Linked DNA regions of Arabidopsis thaliana. The protein of the gene in region 3 interacts with the protein of the main gene of each other region in a pairwise test. Each region holds a gene or a part of one and is shown on either strand. Other genes may lie near its edges. The genes, in order: TRY, DBP1, BMY2 and CPL3.

Region 1 (5,241 bases), 3.2 Mb from region 3:
ATACTTCATACTTCATAGTCCTACATATATATAGCTAGTGCAAGCATGTAACACCTAATATTTAAGTGATTGTGAAAATAAGTGTTCATAACTTTTGGTTAGAATTGGATCGGGGTTTTTATTTTAGTTACATTTTTTTTAAAGTATAGATACATTATGTCATTAATTCTGTAATAATTTTTTTAAGTAGTTTCTTCAAAATATACTAGTCAACTATAACTAATGGAGTATTTCTTTTTTTTTTTTTACTATTTAAAATTATTGTCATTAGTTAAAATATTACCCAACCATTTTTGCACAAATGATCAGTTTCCTCTTGATAAGTTCTTTCAAAGGACTAAATCTAATACACAATTTTTTTTACTTTCTAATTACTGATGTATTAGAGAATATAAAATATATTAGAGAATATAAAATATAAAATGTTACTATATATAAAATTAAACTATAAAATATAAATGTATTAGAGAATGATACAATTTGTAAAACTTTTATATGTAATAAATAATTCTCAAATTTTTAAAATTACTACTTTAAAAATAAATCACGGGATGGGTAAAGAAATTACAGAACAGATTTTATTTTGGAATTGAGTTATATGGTGGATGTATTTGAATCAATATTTATAAATTTTTAAAATATTATTAATATGCTGTTTTAGTAAGGGTTAAAACTTCAGTTTTTTAACAATTGTCTCATGGATTCGTTGTATAGCGTTACTTAATAACAATTATAAACTGTAAAATAAAAATATTTTATAAAAATAAAATTTGCAAGTTTTAATATATATTAACTTTAAAAAGTAAATTATACCGCGATATACCGCGGATTAAAATCTAGTTGTGGATATAAAAGTCGTAGACGAGAAAATAAAAAAACCTAACCGCATGGATTAAAGTTGATTACCAAATGAAACCTATACTATAAAAATTATAAATGAAATAACAACAAAAAGAAAACAATAGATGATGAATTCTTCAAACTAACAAGAACCACTACTATACATCTATTATAATTTTTTTATTTTCTTTTTTCGTTGGCTTAAAAACAAAAACACTAGGAAGGATAGATAGAAAAGCGAGGACGGTGAGGCTTGGTATGTTTGTGGGAAGATGAGTGAAGCTGGCGTCGTTTATCAGCAAAGCCTTCACTGTTTCTCATTATCCAATATCTCTCTATCTCCTCTGGTTGTCTTCCAGGAACTCTTCCTGCTATCAAATCCCACCTAATTCAAAAGAAAAAAAAAAACATTTTTATCCCAAGCATTAGCATTTATATTTTCATAATAAAATATAATTTGTCAGTTCAAAAATTTCCATTTTTGAGCCAGCCAAGCATTTATATACATGAGTACGTACTGATAAGAATAGTAAATTAGGTTCTTATTTTTATCTCTATATATATGTGTGTACATATATAATTTAATGAACGTGATAGCTTTAATTAAATGTCTTTTTTTAGAAAATTAGTGGACACCATGTGCTTCCCCTACAACATGGTACACTGTACATATGTTATAAAGTACATATGCTTAAATTAACGTATGTAAAATTGTATATACCTGCATATTAAATTGTTTTAGCTAGACATGTCTAAAATATAAAATTTATTTTATGCTGGGATAATCTTAGAAAAAGTAGAAGAAGAAGAAATTGTTACCTATCACCGACAAGTCTGTACATTCGAAAGATGAGATCTTCTTCTTGTTCAGTCATGTTGATAAACTCCCATTCGATACTGCTCACTTCTGCAAATAACAATATTAAACCAATTAAACTCAAAACAATATTAAACTAACAAAAAAAGACAAATATAAACTTTTTAAAAAGATATTAATTTTTGTTAAAACTAGAAACTAATCTTGATAAGTCTTTTAGTCAGCACGAGGTGTAACTAATTTAGAAGTAATTAAACGTATCCCTCGTTTTAACGAATATATACAAAGAGAATATGATCCTAGCTAGGAACTAAATTTATTTTCAAGATGTTTAATAAAATTGGATTTAGGAAATAGAAAATATATAGAGAATAGAGAGGTACCTTCAGAGTCATGGAGGGCGATTTTGTGTTGCTTACGACGGCGACGACGGTCAGTGTTATCCATTACTATTGAAGTAAGAAAAGAAAAATAGAGAGAAATTAATGTGATGAAATTTTGAGTTTGGAGAATGTAAGGAAAAAAAGACGTGAGAGATGAGAGTTTATAGAGCGAACAAGAAGAAGAAGAGGGGAGGAGAGAGAAGGAAATGTCCAACGAACGGCCTTTGCAAAACTAATAGTAAGAAGTGTTGTGTGGTCTTGTTGACCTCTTACCCTTTGTGTAGACTTGTCGTTGACACTCAAATACACATGGAGATGAAGTCTTTTATTGGGATTTGTAAGTATTTTGAAGGCTAACTTTGTTCTCATTCGTAGATCCTAACAATTTTTTTTTTCCATTTATTCAATTTTTCTAAACCTACTATCTTTTTAGAATAATGGGATTTATTGATTTTTATTTGGCAGATGCAAGTTCAACGATGTTTTAGTTATTGATTTGTTGTTGTTCTTTCCATTTTTGTATTCAAGTCCAATTTGTATTTCTAAGAAAATTAGTTGTTATTAGGTTATTAGTTTTTCAAGTTTTTTTTTCAGGGTTGGACATACACACCAAACCGTACCGAATAAAAATTCTTGAACCAAAAATAAACTTATTTTTTTTTCCATATAGTAACAAATTAGTTTCACTATATACACTAAAATGAATCTAATTCGAACCTTAATCTAGTGCATGAAAATGAAACAAAATCTAATCGATCAAATTTATTAAAATTGTCCATTGTGTTTGTTATTAAACGCTATGTTTGAGCCAAAACACATACATATTTTGATAGTCATCATTGTCACTACAATTAGTTATTTTATTTTGATAGTTATTATAATGTAGGAATAAGTTAGATATCTTACAACTTTACTTAAAAGATAACGTCACCCAATATAAAACATGGGAATAATATTTATATCAATATATATAGAAAATACTTTTTAATATATTAATTAGATAGTTATTTATATTATTTTATTAATATTTTAAATAAACCAAACTAAAATTTATTTTAATTTAGAGAAATATTATTAAAATCGAAAAAACCAAACAAAACGGAAAATCGAAGGCCTATACCTAATATTCCCACTTAATATAGTACGTATGTTAATTAATTCATTAATCAACATGTTCATATTTTCATTCGTTATACAAGAAGTCTCATTCCCGATTGACTTTTCTTTCATCTCCACGAAGAGGTTGAAACAGAAATTTTTTGGCACAATAAAAAACATGATTCAGATTTTATCCCAAAATCACACAATGTTTTTAATATAATAATTCCACTTCTCCGAATAATTTAACATTTTAACCCCTGTTTTTTAATTCTACATTTGACATATGTTTTAATTCTAGAACAGTGACTAAGACATTACATACGACGCTGTATGGCAACTCCTTACACACGCGATTTAATGAGTGCTTCTGGAGAAATTCAATCTCTCACACATGATACAACCAAAATCCCTGATTTGCGTTTTCTTCGAAATATTTAAATCTATTATAAATCTGAATCGACCCATTAAACTAACGTATTTAATTCGAGTGAGAAACATCATATATAAAGTACGCTTCTCAATAAATTTTGTAAGAAAGTATACAATTACTATCATATTCTCACGAAAGAGATTTTCAAAATATAAAGTACCCTACCAGATAATTCATAATTGGATAAAAGATTAAACGGAAGAAATCTGTAGTCTACGGCGAAAGACATCGTGTGAGGCGAGTCATGTGATGTATATCGCATCATCCTCATTGCATAGAAACTGTGTATTATGTGATAGATTTGGAATTTTTTTAATAGGAAGCCTAGTTGGTAAAATATCTCTTTACTCGAAGCTTAAATACAATATAGCAATATAAATGATTTTCATAAACTTTTGATAAACAAATCAATTCGATATCGAAGAATGCATCAATGAAAATGTGTCTTTAGTTTGGAGCTAAAAGAACGAAATTGGTTTGCATAGCTAAACTAATGTCTAAAATTCTGGTACAAAAGGACAAAGATGTGATTACCTTTTCTATTATTTGATTATATCAACAACAACAAAGATGTGACATGTTGCCTCCTAGAAAGATTTTTCATAATAGCAATCACTATCCATTTCTCTTTCCACTTTAATTAAAATTAAAACTCTTGTACAAATTATTCTTTTTGGTTGAACAATAAATTTGATATTACACAAGAAAAGAAGATAGATTACTCGTAAAAGAACTGCTATTAAGGAATATTTTTGTAGTTAATAAGAAAGTTATAAGAGAAAGAAAAGAAATATTGAACCGATTTGAAACATGGTTGCAGCTGTTGGTAGATCAATTCAACTAACATTCTTAGGCCTAAATAAACATATATTTATTTGTAACGTATCGAATGATTACACATATTATACGAGTGCCCCCATACATGCATGTATATAGGAGTATTTTATATTTTATTAAACCTGGGTCATTAAAATATTAATTTAAACCCCACAAAGTAAAAGCTCGAATCAAATAATAAAACTTGTTGAACTGTAGATGTTTTGATTGGTTAACAACATTGTTGACAACATTTAAGGTGGTCCAATGAATGTTTCTGCTGCTTTCAGTTGGAAAAGCGTTATATACGAATTGAGTATATTCACTTAACCGCTTACACTCTTATGCAACATATGAGTATTTGCGGTTTTTAACAAGATGGAAAACGTGATATTTTAGAAGATGATAAGGTTTCTTCACTACATGACTATATATGAGTGAGTAGCCCCATCCACAAACAACATATGAAGTAAATTTATATTTGACTAACATTTAATAGGTCATAGAGTTATGAGAAATGAGGAGACGATGTAGTTTATTTCTTTTAGACTCGAATCGAATGAGGTGTGAAATTCCTTCTTCTTCTATTTTGTTCTATCGTATTTGTGAGTTGTTCTGGTTTTTTGGATCGATACGTTTTCATCCAGGGTAATTTTTTTTGTTGTTTTTGTATGAATGTTTGAATTTGATATATTGAGTTTTTGTTCTTATATTGATAATTTGTCATAGTTTGACATAGTTAAAATTTATAATAAATACTAATAAAAAATGAATCCATTAATGTATTTTAAAATTTTCAACAACATAAAGTTTAGTTGTCAAGAGATTGATTGATTGAATATCGATAGTATTTG
Region 2 (6,038 bases), on a different chromosome or scaffold from region 3:
ATTCTTGGAAGTGATTCGAGGAGCTTCAATGGCGGCACCGATCAAACTACTTCCGGTAATGTAAATTCCCCTAAACCATAAAGAGAGAGAGCAAAATAGTTTTCGTAAGCATGATGATTTCGCAAATCAATGGGGAGAAGAAGAAAAGGATTTATACCAGGCAGCACCAAGAACAGAGACGCCGATGGAGATGGCGATTCCGATGGCGGAGAAAGTGTACGGGGAGATTCTCACCAGAGCCGCGCCCCATGAACTCGCATGAATAGCCACACCGGACATTTTCTCTCTATCTCTTTGATATGAATGAATTTGATTTGTCTCTTTCTCTGTCTTTCGGAGGAGGAGATGATTAACAGAGCCTGTGCGATCTGAAATTGAGCAACTCCAAATCACGCGCTGATGAATGCGCGTGAATTCAATTACCATCGTATAGGCCTCGTAAGCGATACGAATAGCCCACTTTGATCGGACTATTGGGCCTTGTTCCTCATTTGAATATCCGGGACAATCTCGTTGTTCAGAGTTTCACGATAAAATAGTAACTGACGATGGCTCACTCAGCCTCATCACTAGACTGACTTTTCCAGCATCCGCAAACCGATAAGTGGCGATGTGGTCAAAGCCGACCCTCGAGTTTACTGCATATCTAACATACGTCATTCTGCAAGAACACAACATATTCGGTAAACGCAGGAATTGGAATAACTTTCTAGTTACAAAACAAATGAGACTGAAGCAGAATTATTATTATGCAAAAGTGACAAAAAAATATATCCTACCAAACAATAAATTATTGTATGCCGCCTCATGTTATAACTTACTCAAATTGCGAGAATTTAACAGAACAAAACCTCCAAACCCCAAACTATAAAATTGTAAGAAAAGACAAAACAAAAACAGAGAAATCAATCATTCGTCACCATCCTCATGTCCCCCAATTAGTTTCCCAAGCCATCCAAGTAGCTCTGTAAATCTTTTAAACCCTCCGCCGAGAAGCTTCTGTGAACTCTCAACCTCGGCGCTACCAAGTTCGGTGGTGGCTGTGGCTGAAGACACACAACCACTGCCGTCACATTATCAGCACTCTTCCTCTTCAAAGCTTCCTCAACCAGCTCCTTACTACACATGACCGGGTCATTGTGCTCCTGTAGTCTCCTTCTGGCAAAATCTACAGCATTCTGGCTCATGAACACATCCCAAACCCCGTCACACCCAATTATAAGGAACTCATCCTCTTCTGTTAGTTTTGTTGTCATGAGCTCAGGCTCTGCAATTAGAGGTCCACAATCAGAACCATCTTTCTTCTTCTTCATGCCTTCCATATGAAAGTCACCTAGCGCTCGAGCCACATTAAGTTGTCCATTTAGATAGCCATCGAATACATGTCCACCCGATGCTTCAATGCGTCTCCTTTCCTTACTGCTCATGGGTTTGTGGTCTCTTGACATTTCAATGGCTTTTCCCTGACGGGATAAGACTGCTCTGCAATCTCCAGCGTTTGCTACCACCAACGACCTGTTACCACAAAACTATATGTTAACACGGTACCAAACGGTTTCATACCAGAATACTAATAGAGTATGAAATGAGCAAGTATATACGTGACTCAAAGACCATATGAGACAATAACTACATTATAGCAGCAGCACATATGGGCAGAGAATACATCTACAGGCGAATTAGTTGTACATGATTGTGTTAAAGGTCAAGATTATGCACACTACGCAGTTGAGGATAAGCATCTATTCCCAAACACGTTTTTCTTTAACATAACCAAGATGTAAGAGTTTAGGTTAGACAAAACTAAAAGATAATAAGAGTTGAATCAACAAACCTTCCAAAAAGAATAGCTGCCAAAGCAGTAGTTCCTGAAGCAAGGCTCCCATCCAATGAACACGCCTCTAAGAAGGCAGTGTCTGTTTGAAGAAATGCTGAAGATAACACCTTATTGATTTCACTAGGAAACTCTTGATCTTCAACAATGTACCTCGGTATATGGTGACATGCAAACTCAGCGGCATGCTTCCCACCATGTCCATCAAATACCTAATAACAAACAAAATTCAATAAGAGATCCCCATATTTTCACTACATTCACAGTTGTTTGCTTATGCTACAAATCTACAAAAAATCAGGAAAACTGAAGAAAGAACATACCCCATAGAAGGCACTTGGACCAGCCTCAGAATTCAGAAGGCCAAAGCTATCCATGAAATTATCAACGCATAGATAAGCATCTTCCATGCTTGACCTGGAGCCAATATCAGACCAAGCTCCAGAACGCGTAGCAGGAACAAACTCAGACTTGTTCTTCTCTATAGTAAACTCATTCTCAACAGATATATCTGACACCATTGTCTTCACCTACCAAAATGAAAATCAATCAGAAAACCTCAAACATCTCATAATGACACATTAAAAACAGAAACTTTCTACCTTAATTATACACATTAGGAAACCAATAATGATCAAATCCAAAAGCAGAGCAATAATTACAAAACCTCAACTTAAATTGATCATTCAATACACAAAATAAACCTAACTGATCCACAAATCAAGTTGAAGAGAAACGAATCTTACGAGAGATGAGTGTCGAACCAGTGACCTCTTATTACACGGCGCCAACGATCGCTCGCCGTCGAAGGTTTGCCTGTAAACGGCAGCAGCGGCGGAGGAAGAAGAGAAGGAGAGTGGATTCGGCGGTTTACCGCCGTAACTCGAACTCCCATTCTCTGGATCAGAAATTCCTCTAGTTTCTTCCATATTGAAACATCATCGTATAAAAATTCAATAAGCAATTATGGAAACAGCTGACGAGTCAACTCACGAGTGAGCGAGTCGATTAAAAACGATTTAACGAAGAATGTAGCTTTAGATGAGAGATTCGTAAACAATGGATTCAGAATCGAAAACAAAATTGAAGAGATTGTTGAAAGGTTACACGAATTTCAGGGTTTAAGAGAAAATTAGGGTTTTGTGGAAGAAATTGGAACACGCAGAAAGAGAGAGATAATAAAACTGTTCGCCGGCGGAGGCGAGAAATATGAGTCCGACGGTTATTTAAAAGGCAAAAAGAAAAAGGAAAAAGGAAAAAGGAAGCTTAACATAAACACGAAACGTCGGCGTATTATTTACTTTTTCTCTTTGCTTTTTTTTTTCCTTTTTGTTTTTGAAGTGAGAGATTTTTTTTCTTATTAAAAAAGGGATATATTTACAGTTTATATGAGAAGTAAACATAGTATTTTGAAAAATAGCAAGAAAGGAAATCTGAAATTTTAGACTAATAGCAAAAAGATTTTGAGTTAAGTTGACAAAATTGAATTTTAGTAACTTGGGACCTTTTTTACATCTTTTTTATATAAAAAAAGTCGACACATGAGATATTACTTATAAAATTAAAAATACATTATTTTCATGAATATTTAATAGAGTTTATGAATTTCTCACATATGTTAATTATTAAGTGCTGAAAAATGTTTAATTGTTTTTCTGTATAAATGTTAAGTACTGAAAAATGCTTGGAATGTTTTTCTATATTTATATCTCTGCTATTTATATGTGTGATTTAGTGTTATTTAGGGCATTAAATATAAGATATTAAAATATTAAATTTTTCTATAATTTAAAAATAAGTAAATAAACATGTTGTAGACCGTAATTGCCAGATTATTTGTGCTGTTTCCTAAATACTTTTACATTCTTTGATGGTCACCAAATTAACTATAAGAAAAATTAGGACTCAGTCTCATTAATTTTTCGGAAGAGAAAAAGAATCAGTCTCATGGTAGTTGTTAGGAAATATTTGAATATTGTTTCGCCATTAGAAACTTTTTATGTGGATTTTTTTCCTGAAAACGATGGTTACTATTAATTAAACGGACCGACAAGAACCTTGTTGACGTGGTAACAAGTGATGACACATGCTAATTGGCCATCATTGTCAAATAATTTGTTCGCAAGGCGTGATACGTGTACGTTGTTATTCAGACGTAGCAAACAGATTCACGACTTTTGTTCAATTTGTCTTTGTATGGAGTATGGACCTAACATCTCCAACGGACCAATGCTATTGGGTCAAGTCCATCTTTTCTAGGTTAAGTTCATTCTTTGGGCTTTAGTTAAGTATAGAGAAAGAACATATTGGAAGAAAAATTTAGATGTGGTTTGTATTGCATGCGCATATGAAATGTAATAATTTGAGGATACATATATAGTAAGAAAAAATGAGTGACCCAAGTAAGAATGGGTTAGTAGTTATATATATGTTGGAGGTGAAAGGAATAAAATAAAATTTGTTCTAGGTGGATTCTTAAGAAAAAGAAGGAAACGAAAACAGAGGAATAACAATGGCAGGGAGAATAAGCTGCTGTCTAAATCTTCCTCCCCTAGATTCAAATTCTGCACAATCATTAGCTTCACTGCTCAAGACAACGTCAAAGATCTCTTGGTATCTCTTCTATTCATGAAAAGTTATTATTTACCTGATAATTTTTCATATCAATGATCTTTGTTCTTTTATTGTTTAGTAGGAGAACAGAAAATGAGACAGAGCCACGGAAAAACAAGTGTTCTTTTGTCTTGGGGGTGGCGGCAACTGTCGTAATCGGCGGGATTCAGATCAATGATGTTGCATCAGTGGAAGCTGCGGTTGTGAAATCGCCGGTAGAAGAGATGGCTGCGGGTGTGGTGCCGCCGCGGAGGTGGAGTGACAAGAGGACGTGTCCGCCTTGGCTTGAGAACTCGCTAGAGACCATCGTACCGGAGAATCTTCCTCGTCCGTCTGCTCATCGACGTTTGGAGTTAGCCGGATTAGCTAAGGGTGATGCACCGCCGGTCGGTGTGGTGATGACACGTGTCAACAGGGGTGGTTGTTTCTCCGTGTAAATTGGAAGTTCATTACGTGTAAGGGAGATTGTTAGGCAGGTGTAAAAAAAGTCAATTAGAAACAAATAATACACACAAAAACTATTGTAGATATATTAAATTTTAAGTATTTGTTTGTGTAGTTACTGATGACAAAACATTGAACCAAACTGGTCTTTAATTCATGCAAAATTTTCTTTGAGGATGCCATTTTTGATTTTTGGTTTAAATCGAACCGTATAAAAATAATTAACTCATTAAATTCATTGAGATCTTTATGTGCACGATTAGTTTTGGTCCGTCCTTTTTTTCTTTGTTTTGTAATCTTGTATCCTACCAAATTTTGGGAGTTTTCAGCTTTGTGTGTTAAAGTAGTACTCTATTGGATGTGAAATGAAAGAAAAGTAGTACATGCGTGTAGTACAAAAGAAAAACACTCCAAGTACTTCCTACTGAAATGAGTTGGCCTATTATCGATCCAAAGTGAAGCCCAACTCTATGTCACTCCAACGATTAGTTTGATTTCGGCCTCGTATTTCAAAGTTTAACTACAACTCTACAAATTTCACTTCCATGTCGGACCTTCAATAATTTAATTTCTTGATGCTCATGTTCTTTGCTTTTACAAGAATGGTGAGAGAATAAAGGGAGATTAGCCTTAGCGAGAGAGAAAAGACTCGTAGCATGAAGAGAAGAAGAAGAAAAAATTGGTTTTGCAATAAGAGACCTACGTTAACAAGAAAATGGACACAGCTTGATCATCTTATGCAAATCCACACTCACGATTTTCTAAAACTAGTTTGAAACTTACAGAAAACATTTTTTTTTGTAAATTTCTTAGATATTTCAAATAACTCTCTCGAGACATAAATCATAAAGACGATAACTAGTTAAGATCATTGTGAATAGTTTATAATGGATTTAACAAAAAAAAGAATAGTTTATAATGGAGTCTTGAGAGAGTTATTTGAATTATTTTGGGAATTTACAAAATTGTTGGATAAAAAAAGTAGTTACAAGAAAAAGGAAAATATTTACAAGTGTGTTTCTAATTTTTTCCTACTAGAAAGACAACTAGATAAGATCATTTCAATAGTCTTCTATTCACTAATTATGGACAAGTAAAAATTAAAAGATTTGTTACACCATCTCTATCTTACATTTCTCTATTTATA
Region 3 (6,725 bases):
ATAGAAGGTTCTCGTACAACATGTCTTCTATCAAGAAGTCCAGCATAAGTACTATCCATACCATTAACTACTCTCGGAGAACGTAAGCTACCATCTTCCCCAAATCTCATGGCATCAATATCTCTAACTACATTGTCAATCACAGGAATTCTCGGAGACTCAACTCTATCATTGAGCCTAATAGCAGATTCTGAAGGTGAAGTAACACCATCTTCTCTATGAGAAGAAGAGACTGGATAAGTCGTGTTGAAGGATCTTGAACTTGAAGCTCTGCTAAGTCTAGAGCTTATGTTACCAGGAATGAATTTGAAATGCGAAAAAACTCGACCTGGAGTAGAAGATTCTTGAATCGAACCGCTAACATTTCTCATCTGTACATTGCTTACACTAGCTTCCTCTTCTTCTTCTTCAACACCACACTCATCATCAAGCTCAAGCTCATCACAATGTCTTTCGTTTTCAGATTTCTTATCATCTTTCAATTCTTTATCATAGCAATCTGATGCATCTCTTCTCGATTCCATTCTACGCCGTGTAACACTTCCATGACTCTTCCTCATCCATCCATTACACACCTGAAGAAATCAAAACTCATGAACTTGACCTAATTTCAGATTTGACCAAAATAAATTAAATATCAAAACCAGACCTGTTCATCATTATCATCATCACTGTAATGAGAAGTAGAAGATGAAGCAAGACAAGAAGAGTGAAGACCACAAAAAAGACTCTTTGATCTTCTTCTCCTTCCACCACCACTAGAAGACGACGGAGGAGGTTGAGCCACGTCAGAAGCTTCTCTCGCCATCGCCGACGAGCCTAGACATGATTTGCTCCGGCCAGATCCCATCTTCTTCTCAAAAGCAAACAACTTTCTGCTAAAATTACATCATTGACACAAGACCCACAAGTCTTTTCCCCATCTTCTTCAAATCCACCAATCGAAGAAACCTCCAAGTCAAAATCTAAAGATCGAAACTTTTTCCTCAGATCTTTACATTGAAACCCGAATTCGTCATTGACAATGCAGAATCAAAAGCCCTAATTATTGAATCCCCAGATCTGAAACTCGATCGAGATTGCAAGAATACCTCGAAATCTGAACTTTTTTTATTGCGAGAAATTAATGTAGGAACTAAGCTATGTGTGTTGTCTTTGAATCAAAGAGAAATGCTTTGAAGAAAAGGAAAGATTTTTAGGTGATCGGAGTAATCGAAGAAGGAGACAAAGCACCTATCTGCGATAGAGAGAGAGACTTTTACGGGAAGAGTGTGTCTTGATGTTCGAACGAGAGGGAACAAAAAACCAAACTCACCATTTCTTTATTTTTCTTTCTTTTCTTTTTCAAACTATTATAACATTCTTTTGTTTTCGTTCGATTTTTTAATCTTTTTTGCAATCATAATTGGACTTCATTGAGGACTATAATTGAGAAAAAAGCTTTGAAATGGTCATTGAACAGTGATCACTTAGATGAAAAATAGTTGTAACCAAACCAAACTAGAATATTCAAACTATACTCAAAACTGAAATTTTGTTGACAAAGCCTTTTGGTTTTATAAATTGCGAAGCAGAAATACAAAATCGAACCAAAATCGAACCAAAATCGAATCTATATTCTCAAAAATTAAAATATAATTGAACTACACTAACTTCAAAGAAAGAAAGAAAAAAGATATATTAAAAATAGAAAAAAAAAATGAGTTGAAAAAAGTAAATCACAATAAACTAAAATATACAAATCATTTTTTTTTATGAAGTGATTGTTTTCAGTATTTTACAATTTAGATATAGTGGCATTCTAGCTTCAGAAGATTTTTGTTGGACCGGCCCTGTAAAGTCGATTTAAAGACCAAACAAAAACTAATTTTAACATGATAAAATCGAATCAAATAAACGGAAATTCATTAACATTTTATTTATAATTATAATGTTAATTTTACTAAAACCTACCTAAAATAAAAACCTGAGTCAAAATATGTAAACTAATTTTAACATGATTTTGGTTTGATTTACTAAACCAAAATCAAATCAAAAGACAAATTATGTATTTATGTTATTCAGTTTTTCTTTTCTAAACTAATAAAACCATGAAAAAAAGGATTGGAAACAAAACCGTAAAACCCATCGTGTCATTCCTAACAAACCCATCAGTAATTCAGTATCACTTTGTCAAAACTGGTCACATTGGCTATTGTTGAACAAAAAAAAAAGAGAGGTTTTTGACCAAAAAAAAAAAAAAAAAAGGAGGGGTTAATATTGACGATTTTGATAATGAGAGACTTTTAACGTAATTTATAATAATTACCGACGTTGATTTGTAAATCCATAAAGTTACAAAAAAATCTCAAATGTGGGAACAGCACAGAAGCGAGCAACTTCACCGCACAAAAATGCATACTCTCAACAACACCATCACCACCACCACCGGTTCGCAAGATCCGAATCTCGACCCAATTCCAGACCCGGATCAATTTCCCAACCGGAACCGCAACCAACCACAATCTCGCCGCCCTCGCGGATTCGCCGCTGCAGCAGCAGCAGCGTCGATAGCTCCAACGGAAAACGATGTAAACAACGGAAACATCGCCGGAATCGGCGGTGGAGAAGGAAGCAGCGGCGGCGGAGGAGGTGGAGGAGGGAAAGGGAAGAGAGAGAGGGAGAAGGAAAAAGAGAGAACGAAGCTTAGAGAAAGACATAGACGAGCAATCACTAGTAGAATGCTCGCCGGATTAAGACAGTACGGTAATTTTCCGTTACCGGCGCGTGCTGATATGAATGACGTAATCGCTGCTTTGGCTCGTGAAGCTGGTTGGAGTGTTGAAGCCGATGGTACTACTTATCGGCAATCACAGCAACCAAATCATGTGGTTCAAACTTCGAAACTCTCTCTCTCAAAATTCAAACTTTCATATTAAGCTATTTAAGTTAGGGTTTAGTGGAAAGATGATAAATTTGATCCCAAATATGTGTGAAGCTCTTAAAGTTATAAGCTTTGTTCTGTTATTAATGTAACATAGATTGTTTAATATTATTGGATTAGGTACAGTTTCCGACGAGATCTATTGAGAGTCCACTTTCTTCTAGTACATTGAAGAACTGTGCTAAGGCTGCAATTGAATCTCAGCAGCATTCAGTTCTTAGGAACGATGAGAAACTTGCTCCTGTGTCTCTTGATTCTATTGGTATTGCCGAGAGTGATCATCCCGGGAATGGAAGGTATACTAGTGTTAGTCCTATCACCTCCGTTGGATGCTTGGAAGCCAATCAGGTGAATGATAAATTCATTTCCTTATTAGGAGAATTGACTTTAAGCTGGACGTTGTTTCATCTAACCACTTTGTTTTTCTTTCAGCTTATACAAGATGTTCATTCCGCAGAGCAATGTAATGACTTCACAGAGAGCTTTTATGTCCCTGTGTACGCCATGCTTCCAGTGAGCTTCTGATGAGAGAACTTTGTGTTTTAAGTGTATATATATGGATGTTGCCCAATAAAAAAGAGTGTACATATATTTCTTACCAGTTTTGCCGCGATCCTTAGTTTTCCTGTGCTAAAGTTCTGTACCTTGTCTTTCAGGTTGGCATTATAGACAACTTTGGCCAGTTGGTTGATCCTGAAGGTGTAAGACAAGAATTAAGTTACATGAAGTCATTAAATGTCGATGGAGTAGTAATAGATTGTTGGTGGGGAATAGTTGAAGGATGGAACCCTCAGAAATATGTATGGTCTGGCTATAGGGAGCTCTTTAACCTTATCAGAGACTTCAAACTTAAGCTACAGGTGTGAATATTTTTACTTGTAGAGCTTTGTTAAATACATCCTATGTGACCAAACTGTGACTTTCCCTATAAAGGACCGTCTTTTTCATAATATCTTAGCAATCAGTATATGGTTTGTTTGAAGGTGGTGATGGCATTTCATGAGTATGGAGGGAATGCATCTGGGAATGTGATGATTTCGTTGCCACAGTGGGTGTTGAAGATTGGGAAAGACAATCCAGACATTTTTTTCACTGATCGTGAAGGAAGAAGAAGTTTCGAGTGTTTGAATTGGAGCATTGACAAGGAACGGGTATTGCATGGACGAACTGGTATAGAGGTACTCAAAGAACACTCATTGCTCAGAAATTGTTCAGTATTTTGGTATATTATGTCTCATTTCCTCCTCTTTTGTACTGTCTAGATTCTTATTTCTTCCTTTTCAACACTTGATTATCCAGGTCTATTTTGATTTTATGAGAAGCTTCCGGTCAGAGTTTGATGACTTGTTTGTGGAAGGACTAATTACTGCGGTTGAGATTGGTCTTGGAGCTTCTGGTGAACTAAAGTACCCATCTTTCCCAGAAAGGATGGGTTGGATTTATCCCGGTATCGGTGAGTTTCAGGTATTTTTCAGATTGCTGAACTTTACTTCTACGTTCTAACTTATGACTAGTGAAGTTAACATATCAATTTACTATTTTTCCTATTGCAGTGTTATGACAAATATTCGCAATTGAGTCTGCAAAAGGAAGCAAAGTCACGAGGATTCACTTTCTGGGGTAAAGGACCAGAGAATGCTGGTCAATACAGTTCTCATCCACATGAAACTGTGTTCTTCCAAGAAAGAGGTGAATATGACAGCTATTATGGCCGCTTCTTCTTAAATTGGTACTCACAATTGCTAATTGGTCATGCTGAGAATGTTCTGTCTCTTGCAAATCTCGCATTTGAGGAGACGAAGATTATTGTCAAGGTATAATCCTTTTGGCACTTATCCTTCAAACCCAGTGATGCCTATAACAATGAGACTCATACACCAAAAACAACAATGCAGATACCGGCAATATACTGGTCATACAAGACAGCTAGTCATGCTGCTGAATTAACTGCAGGATACTACAACCCTTCAAACCGTGATGGGTACTCTCTTGTTTTCGAAACTCTGAAGAAATATTCCGTGACTGTGAAGTTTGTGTGCCCTGGGCCACAAATGTCTCCCAATGCGCATGAAGAAGCATTAGCTGATCCAGAAGGTTTAAGTTGGCAGGTAATGACACTTTTTATTGATGACTATAGCTTTTTTTACTTCTCAGCAAATGTAATCTTAACCCTAAAGTTTTGGTTATTTGTGGCAGGTGATCAACGCAGCTTGGGATAAGGGACTTCAAATCGGTGGAGAGAATGCGATTACTTGTTTCGACAGAGATGGTTGTATGAGATTAATCGATATAGCTAAACCAAGAAACCATCCAGATGGCTATCACTTCTCCTTCTTCACATATCGTCAACCTTCTCCTCTGGTTCAAGGATCTACTTGCTTTCCAGATTTGGACTACTTCATTAAACGCATGCATGGTAAGATTTACCCGCACGCTTGATTGTGCCTTCCCTTTAGATTCGTTGTCAAAATCTTTGTTCTTACAACTATATTTGTTTCTTTGCAGGCGACATAAGAGATAAACAGTTTTAGGATTTGCATGGTCTTAGGATTCTTTTAGTAAGTGTCTTTTGTTTAAAACTTCAAAATCTGTTTTGTTTTGTTTATTCTCTCCTCAAGGCCTATATTTAAGACGATTGATCTTGTAATCTTTAAACACCTTAACACTTCACTAGTTGAAGATGAACTAACTAATTAAATTCTTAAATGCATTCTAATCCGACTCGCGTAAAGTAGACACTTGTTTAGTTTTATTTTGAAAAATACAAGAAGGTATTGATGTCTAATGAATACAACCGAAAAGTGTTGCCTAACTCTTATACCTTTTTGTCTAAATTATTCTTAGAATAACCTTTTTGACTATATATGCCCGAATCCGATTACATTAATGGTATTAATAATTTTTGTTCAAAGTTACATTTTTCTTTTGTATCATTCAAATAATATTCTGATAAAATCCTGATTTTTCATGATTGTATTTGACATTTTAGATCCAACCAAATCTTTGAAGAACAAATAAAGAGGGGAAAAAAAGACCAACATGTCCTTTTGCATTCAGTGTTAATTCATGGACAATATAATGTTGGTCCGTACGAAAATTTGATTTTGTATCTAAAGAAGCATAAGAAATAGGGTTAGTTAACCACAACGAACAAAGCCTCTATTATACATATCTAAATGTGGGATAATGAGGCAAAATGTCCAATATGATTAATGAAAAAGATGGAAAAAAAGTCTTAGGTGGTGTGTGATTTAAACTGTGTTTTAATTACTTTAAATGATATGAAAAATCTGTTATTATTTAATCAAGATTCTATTAAATTCTGTTAAAGTTTTTTTTTTAGTAGTAGAGGGGAAACAACCGTCTCCCGCAATTTATTGAAACTGAAAAGAAATTACAAAACGGTAGGCGGGTGAGCCTCGGAAACGCAGTTCCTCGGACATCCTCCCTTACAATCTCCTCCACCAATGAGGGAGCTAAATCAAACTAATGAATACCTAAAGATAGATTAAAAGCATAGTTCGCTAACCCGTCTGCAAGGCTGTTAGCCTCCCTATATACATACGGTTAGCTTCTCTGTTTTAGTTTGATGTTATTAGTTTTTGATTTATTAAAAAATCTTTAAAACTCTTAATAAATTTGGATTTATTGGAATTATATTTTAAAGTCATTGAAAATTTTGTGTTATTCAACTAAAACAAAAAAAATATTTGATTGTTAATGAATTAAATTATTCTGTTATTGGTTTATGATTTTCTATATTTTTACTAACAAAATAAAATCATAAAAAATATAATCGAAT
Region 4 (4,181 bases), on a different chromosome or scaffold from region 3:
AGGCTAAGCAAACCGAAGAGTCTGAATGTTTAAAGTGGTTGGATAACCAGCCGCTCGGTTCGGTTTTATATGTGTCCTTTGGTAGTGGCGGTACCCTCACATGTGAGCAGCTCAATGAGCTTGCTCTTGGTCTTGCAGATAGTGAGCAACGGTTTCTTTGGGTCATACGAAGTCCTAGTGGGATCGCTAATTCGTCGTATTTTGATTCACATAGCCAAACAGATCCATTGACATTTTTACCACCGGGATTTTTAGAGCGGACTAAAAAAAGAGGTTTTGTGATCCCTTTTTGGGCTCCACAAGCCCAAGTCTTGGCGCATCCATCCACGGGAGGATTTTTAACTCATTGTGGATGGAATTCGACTCTAGAGAGTGTAGTAAGCGGTATTCCACTTATAGCATGGCCATTATACGCAGAACAGAAGATGAATGCGGTTTTGTTGAGTGAAGATATTCGTGCGGCACTTAGGCCGCGTGCCGGGGACGATGGGTTAGTTAGAAGAGAAGAGGTGGCTAGAGTGGTAAAAGGATTGATGGAAGGTGAAGAAGGCAAAGGAGTGAGGAACAAGATGAAGGAGTTGAAGGAAGCAGCTTGTAGGGTGTTGAAGGATGATGGGACTTCGACAAAAGCACTTAGTCTTGTGGCCTTAAAGTGGAAAGCCCACAAAAAAGAGTTAGAGCAAAATGGCAACCACTAAATATTTGATGTTCTAATATGATTTGTATAATCAACGGTGGGATTTGTGCAAATGTGTTTCTGTATGTATATGTATGTTCTACTTTTCTTTGCTTCGTTTGTCTCAACTTTTATTTGTATATGTTTTTGGCTTTTGATTAATTCGTAGAAGATGTTGCAATTAAGATCAGCTTAGAAGAAGATGTTGCATATATAGTTAAATATTGTTCAAGAGAATCATCAATTGTCTATCGTCAATAGTTAAATATATATATGGCTTATAAAAATAACAGTTTGTTCAAGTTCTAAACATTTGTTGCAATCTCAAGAGTTACATATATAGATCATCAGTGAGACACATAGATTTCAACAATATGTTTGTTTGGTAATGAGATACGTTATGGGTTTTTATTGAAGATCGTCCGTTTCGTGGTTATGGATCAGAGATTAAGGAAAAACTAAAAGTCTAAAACGTGGATGACCAAGAAAATAAGTGTGTGTGTGTGGAGTAGGTGAAATAGCGTTAACGACAAATATACAGAAAACATGTGTGGGACCTGAAGACAGCATGTCATTTTATGACTTGTAAAACGACTTCCACTTTTGTTTTGTTTTGAAGTAGGTTATTTGCCACTTTCATGTGTCAAGTGTTTAAGGCTTTAAGCAGAAATTAATGAAATATCCACGTACAACATCTACGACTTAGCTTCTAGAAATTACTAGGATGGCAAAAAAATAAATTTAGGCTTGGAAGGCCCAAATATTCGTAGCCCACACAATAAATGGTTCTTGAGAGTTAAATGGTTTGGGATTTAAGAAAGTTTTCTTCTTATAACAGAGTTGGTAAATTTAAAATACAACGGAATATAATCGAAACAATCAGTGAAACTATAGAGATATATTGATCACTTTTCAATTTTTCATGACCCAAAACCTCTCAATTTCTCCAGCGGTTCTTCCTGGGATCCTCCCAGCTATCAGTTCCCACCTTTCATCAAATAATAACACACAAAATTCAGCTTTTACTATGGTGTTACAATTAAATTATTTTCCTACGAAATAGTATTCATTATTAGTTAAAAGATCAAACCTGTCACCGACAAGCTTATGCATTCGAGAGACCAAATCTTCTTCTTCTTGACTCATGTTCACAACTTCCCACTCAAGACTACTCACTTCTGTTCCTTGTCATCACCAAAATTCAGATTTCTCATTATATATAGATAAGTATAAAAAAACATGGAAAAATGAGAAAACGAAGGTGTTTAAGTTTTCAGCTTACCTTCAGAAGAAGAAGTAACGATGGAGTTGGTCTTGGGTTGCTTAGTCCTGCGATGGTTATCCATGTCAAACGGCACCGTATTACAAAGAAGAAGAAGAAAGAAACTAAGAGAGTACTCTGAGAGAGTGGTCGTATTTTGAAGGTTGCACACGAACCATCATTTCTATTTATAGCAACTAACCAAATCAAGTAACCAACGGTCCAACGGGTTTGGTCGGTTTCTATGTTAAAGGATTTTAATTTACTAAATTGGTTTTGTTCTCATTAATTATATTAATTATTGTTAGCTATCTTTGCAAGTTGCAAGTTTGCAACCAATAAAAACCACAAGTACCCGTGACTTCATTTACTCCGTTGTGATGGCTTGGACTGGAACATAAGTTGTATAAATATTGATACATGCCGTTAATTAAGATCATTAATAATCAACAACAATTGTTTTCAAAGCTTTTCTGATTGCTATTCCAGTTCATTCAATCAGAAATTATACTCCCTTTGTTCATAATAGATTGAAATTTTGGATATATTAAGACAAAATCATTTTTAATTATTTTAACATTACTTTTTGTATCAAACATTTTTCAATGCCTAAGAAAAACTTACAAAACTATTGTCCTCGTGTACGTTTGTAAAACACAATAATATTTTCAACCATTCATGTTTTCTCGGCGAGTTTGTTTCACTAAACTGATTGTTTTCATCATTTAGCTTAATTGCTAATAACACATAACTTTCTATAAATTGGATTAATACCATGAAAAGAATAGAATCTACATTATTTAAATTAAAACAATGATCCCCCAATCATGTCTCTTTAATATTTAAGATATACTATAACGTGTCCATCACAAAAGTAAATGAGTGTCACTACGAAAGATGAAAATGGGTTGGATACTTGCATCCTCAATCATGCAAATTTGGTCCTAAATTGGCTTAAAGCCAAAAAAAACAAAAAACAAAGTGGTCCTCGCAGTAAGCAACGTGTCGTGTGTTCGTTACAACTGCTTTATTGGTTCGGGTTATTCAACACTATTACCTGCAATAAAATCTAGTAACAACTTTTTTCATAGTATATCGATCGTTAGATCATCTATATATACATAAGAGGACCTATAAATAAACTTACAAGTCCACGAAGGGAATATCCCCAAGGCAAGACTATATTTAATTGCCATCCCTAGCAAACTTTCAACTTAACCTTTTTCAGTGCTAACAATATATTCTCAGTAAATTCCGAATTTAAGTTTGGAATGAGGAAGAGAAACGTATATTCTCAGACTAACACCTGATTTAATTAATGTGGTCTTGTTCTTTACTAAGTTAATATTATGAGTGACACATTAACACTAACCGATTTTATTAATGGGGTTTGTCAATTGTCATTTGGTTCAGTAAGAAGAAGGAGAAATATGTTTTTGTCGAAGCGTCCTCAAGCTTATCATTTGATGCAATGCGTGGTAGAGCAACATATATGTTTGCGATTAAAATGGTAATCTAGAGCAACATGTTTCATTACTTAATGAAAAACGGAGTCAACACATAAAAATATATCATCATACATTGTCACAATATATACGTTTAGTGGCTTGCCAATGACCATATTTTAGAGGATGCATAAACTTTGATAGATAATTTGTTGCATGCAAAAGCTATCTATAGCCATGTAATACTTGTAACCATCGGATAAAGAAGTGTTATATGCGAGTTGCAAACCATCCATGGTCATCATTATATTGGCCTGAAGAACATCTTTAACAAAAGATAAAATGAGTGGATTGAACCACATATGGAGATTGATGAAGATTTCATTCTAAAAACATTTCAAAGCCAAGAACTAATGGGCATCCACTTTTTACATCAATGCAACACTTTTTAGATGAGATGAAGATTTCATTCTAAACATTTAGTTAAACGTCTAGTTTAGGCATCCACTTTGTTCATCAATGCAACACTTTATAGATGCCGATTAACGCATAGCACTTAATAAAGGAAACATGGATTATTCTACACATTGGTTTATGCTAAGTATATGTCACACTTTTCATTACCCCATTTAACCTTTTTGTTATGTATAGGGAATCCAGAATAAGAGAAAGAAAGAGATCTATCCCACAAGATCCAGTAATCACAAGATATTTGGAAATTTCCCCACAACTTTTATTTCGTCCAATACACCCCTCACACAGCTTCTGATCCCCTTTAACGCGATGACAGACTCTTGTT

Evidence for each region.
Region 1: the proteins of BMY2 (region 3) and TRY interact in a two-hybrid assay, tested with the Arabidopsis thaliana proteins (one large-scale study listed by BioGRID).
Region 2: the proteins of BMY2 (region 3) and DBP1 interact in a two-hybrid assay, tested with the Arabidopsis thaliana proteins (one large-scale study listed by BioGRID).
Region 4: the proteins of BMY2 (region 3) and CPL3 interact in a two-hybrid assay, tested with the Arabidopsis thaliana proteins (one large-scale study listed by BioGRID).

The regions. Positions count from the first base shown.
Region 1 is NC_003076.8:21,579,776-21,585,016, reverse strand, and holds TRY (Homeodomain-like superfamily protein), read right to left. Parts: upstream 2,404-5,241; 5' UTR 2,105-2,403; coding exon 2,041-2,104; intron 1,748-2,040; coding exon 1,660-1,747; intron 1,226-1,659; coding exon 1,057-1,225; 3' UTR 774-1,056; downstream 1-773. UniProt on the Arabidopsis thaliana protein: Transcription factor. Involved in epidermal cell fate specification. Negative regulator of trichome development, including endoreplication, by lateral inhibition involving intercellular interactions.
Region 2 is NC_003071.7:10,902,216-10,908,253, forward strand, and holds DBP1 (DNA-binding protein phosphatase 1), read right to left. Parts: upstream 3,053-6,038; 5' UTR 2,764-3,052; coding exon 2,581-2,763; intron 2,365-2,580; coding exon 2,158-2,364; intron 2,047-2,157; coding exon 1,835-2,046; intron 1,516-1,834; coding exon 939-1,515; 3' UTR 780-938; exon of another isoform or gene 662-779; 3' UTR 501-661; downstream 1-500. Other genes in the region: AT2G25610 (ATPase, F0/V0 complex, subunit C protein), read right to left, coding at 1-70, 158-426; AT2G25625 (histone deacetylase-like protein), read left to right, coding at 4,347-4,447, 4,527-4,884.
Region 3 is NC_003076.8:18,351,243-18,357,967, forward strand, and holds BMY2 (beta-amylase 2), read left to right. Parts: upstream 1-2,282; 5' UTR 2,283-2,351; coding exon 2,352-2,870; intron 2,871-3,043; coding exon 3,044-3,271; intron 3,272-3,355; coding exon 3,356-3,436; intron 3,437-3,579; coding exon 3,580-3,783; intron 3,784-3,906; coding exon 3,907-4,101; intron 4,102-4,222; coding exon 4,223-4,387; intron 4,388-4,476; coding exon 4,477-4,737; intron 4,738-4,818; coding exon 4,819-5,031; intron 5,032-5,119; coding exon 5,120-5,339; intron 5,340-5,428; coding exon 5,429-5,454; 3' UTR 5,455-5,646; downstream 5,647-6,725. Other genes in the region: AT5G45290 (RING/U-box superfamily protein), read right to left, coding at 1-575, 650-850.
Region 4 is NC_003075.7:458,375-462,555, reverse strand, and holds CPL3 (CAPRICE-like MYB3), read right to left. Parts: upstream 2,078-4,181; 5' UTR 2,023-2,077; coding exon 1,959-2,022; intron 1,861-1,958; coding exon 1,767-1,860; intron 1,665-1,766; coding exon 1,589-1,664; 3' UTR 1,482-1,588; downstream 1-1,481. Other genes in the region: GT72B1 (UDP-Glycosyltransferase superfamily protein), read left to right, coding at 1-698. UniProt on the Arabidopsis thaliana protein: MYB-type transcription factor involved in epidermal cell fate specification. Acts as a negative regulator of trichome development, including endoreplication, by mediating lateral inhibition.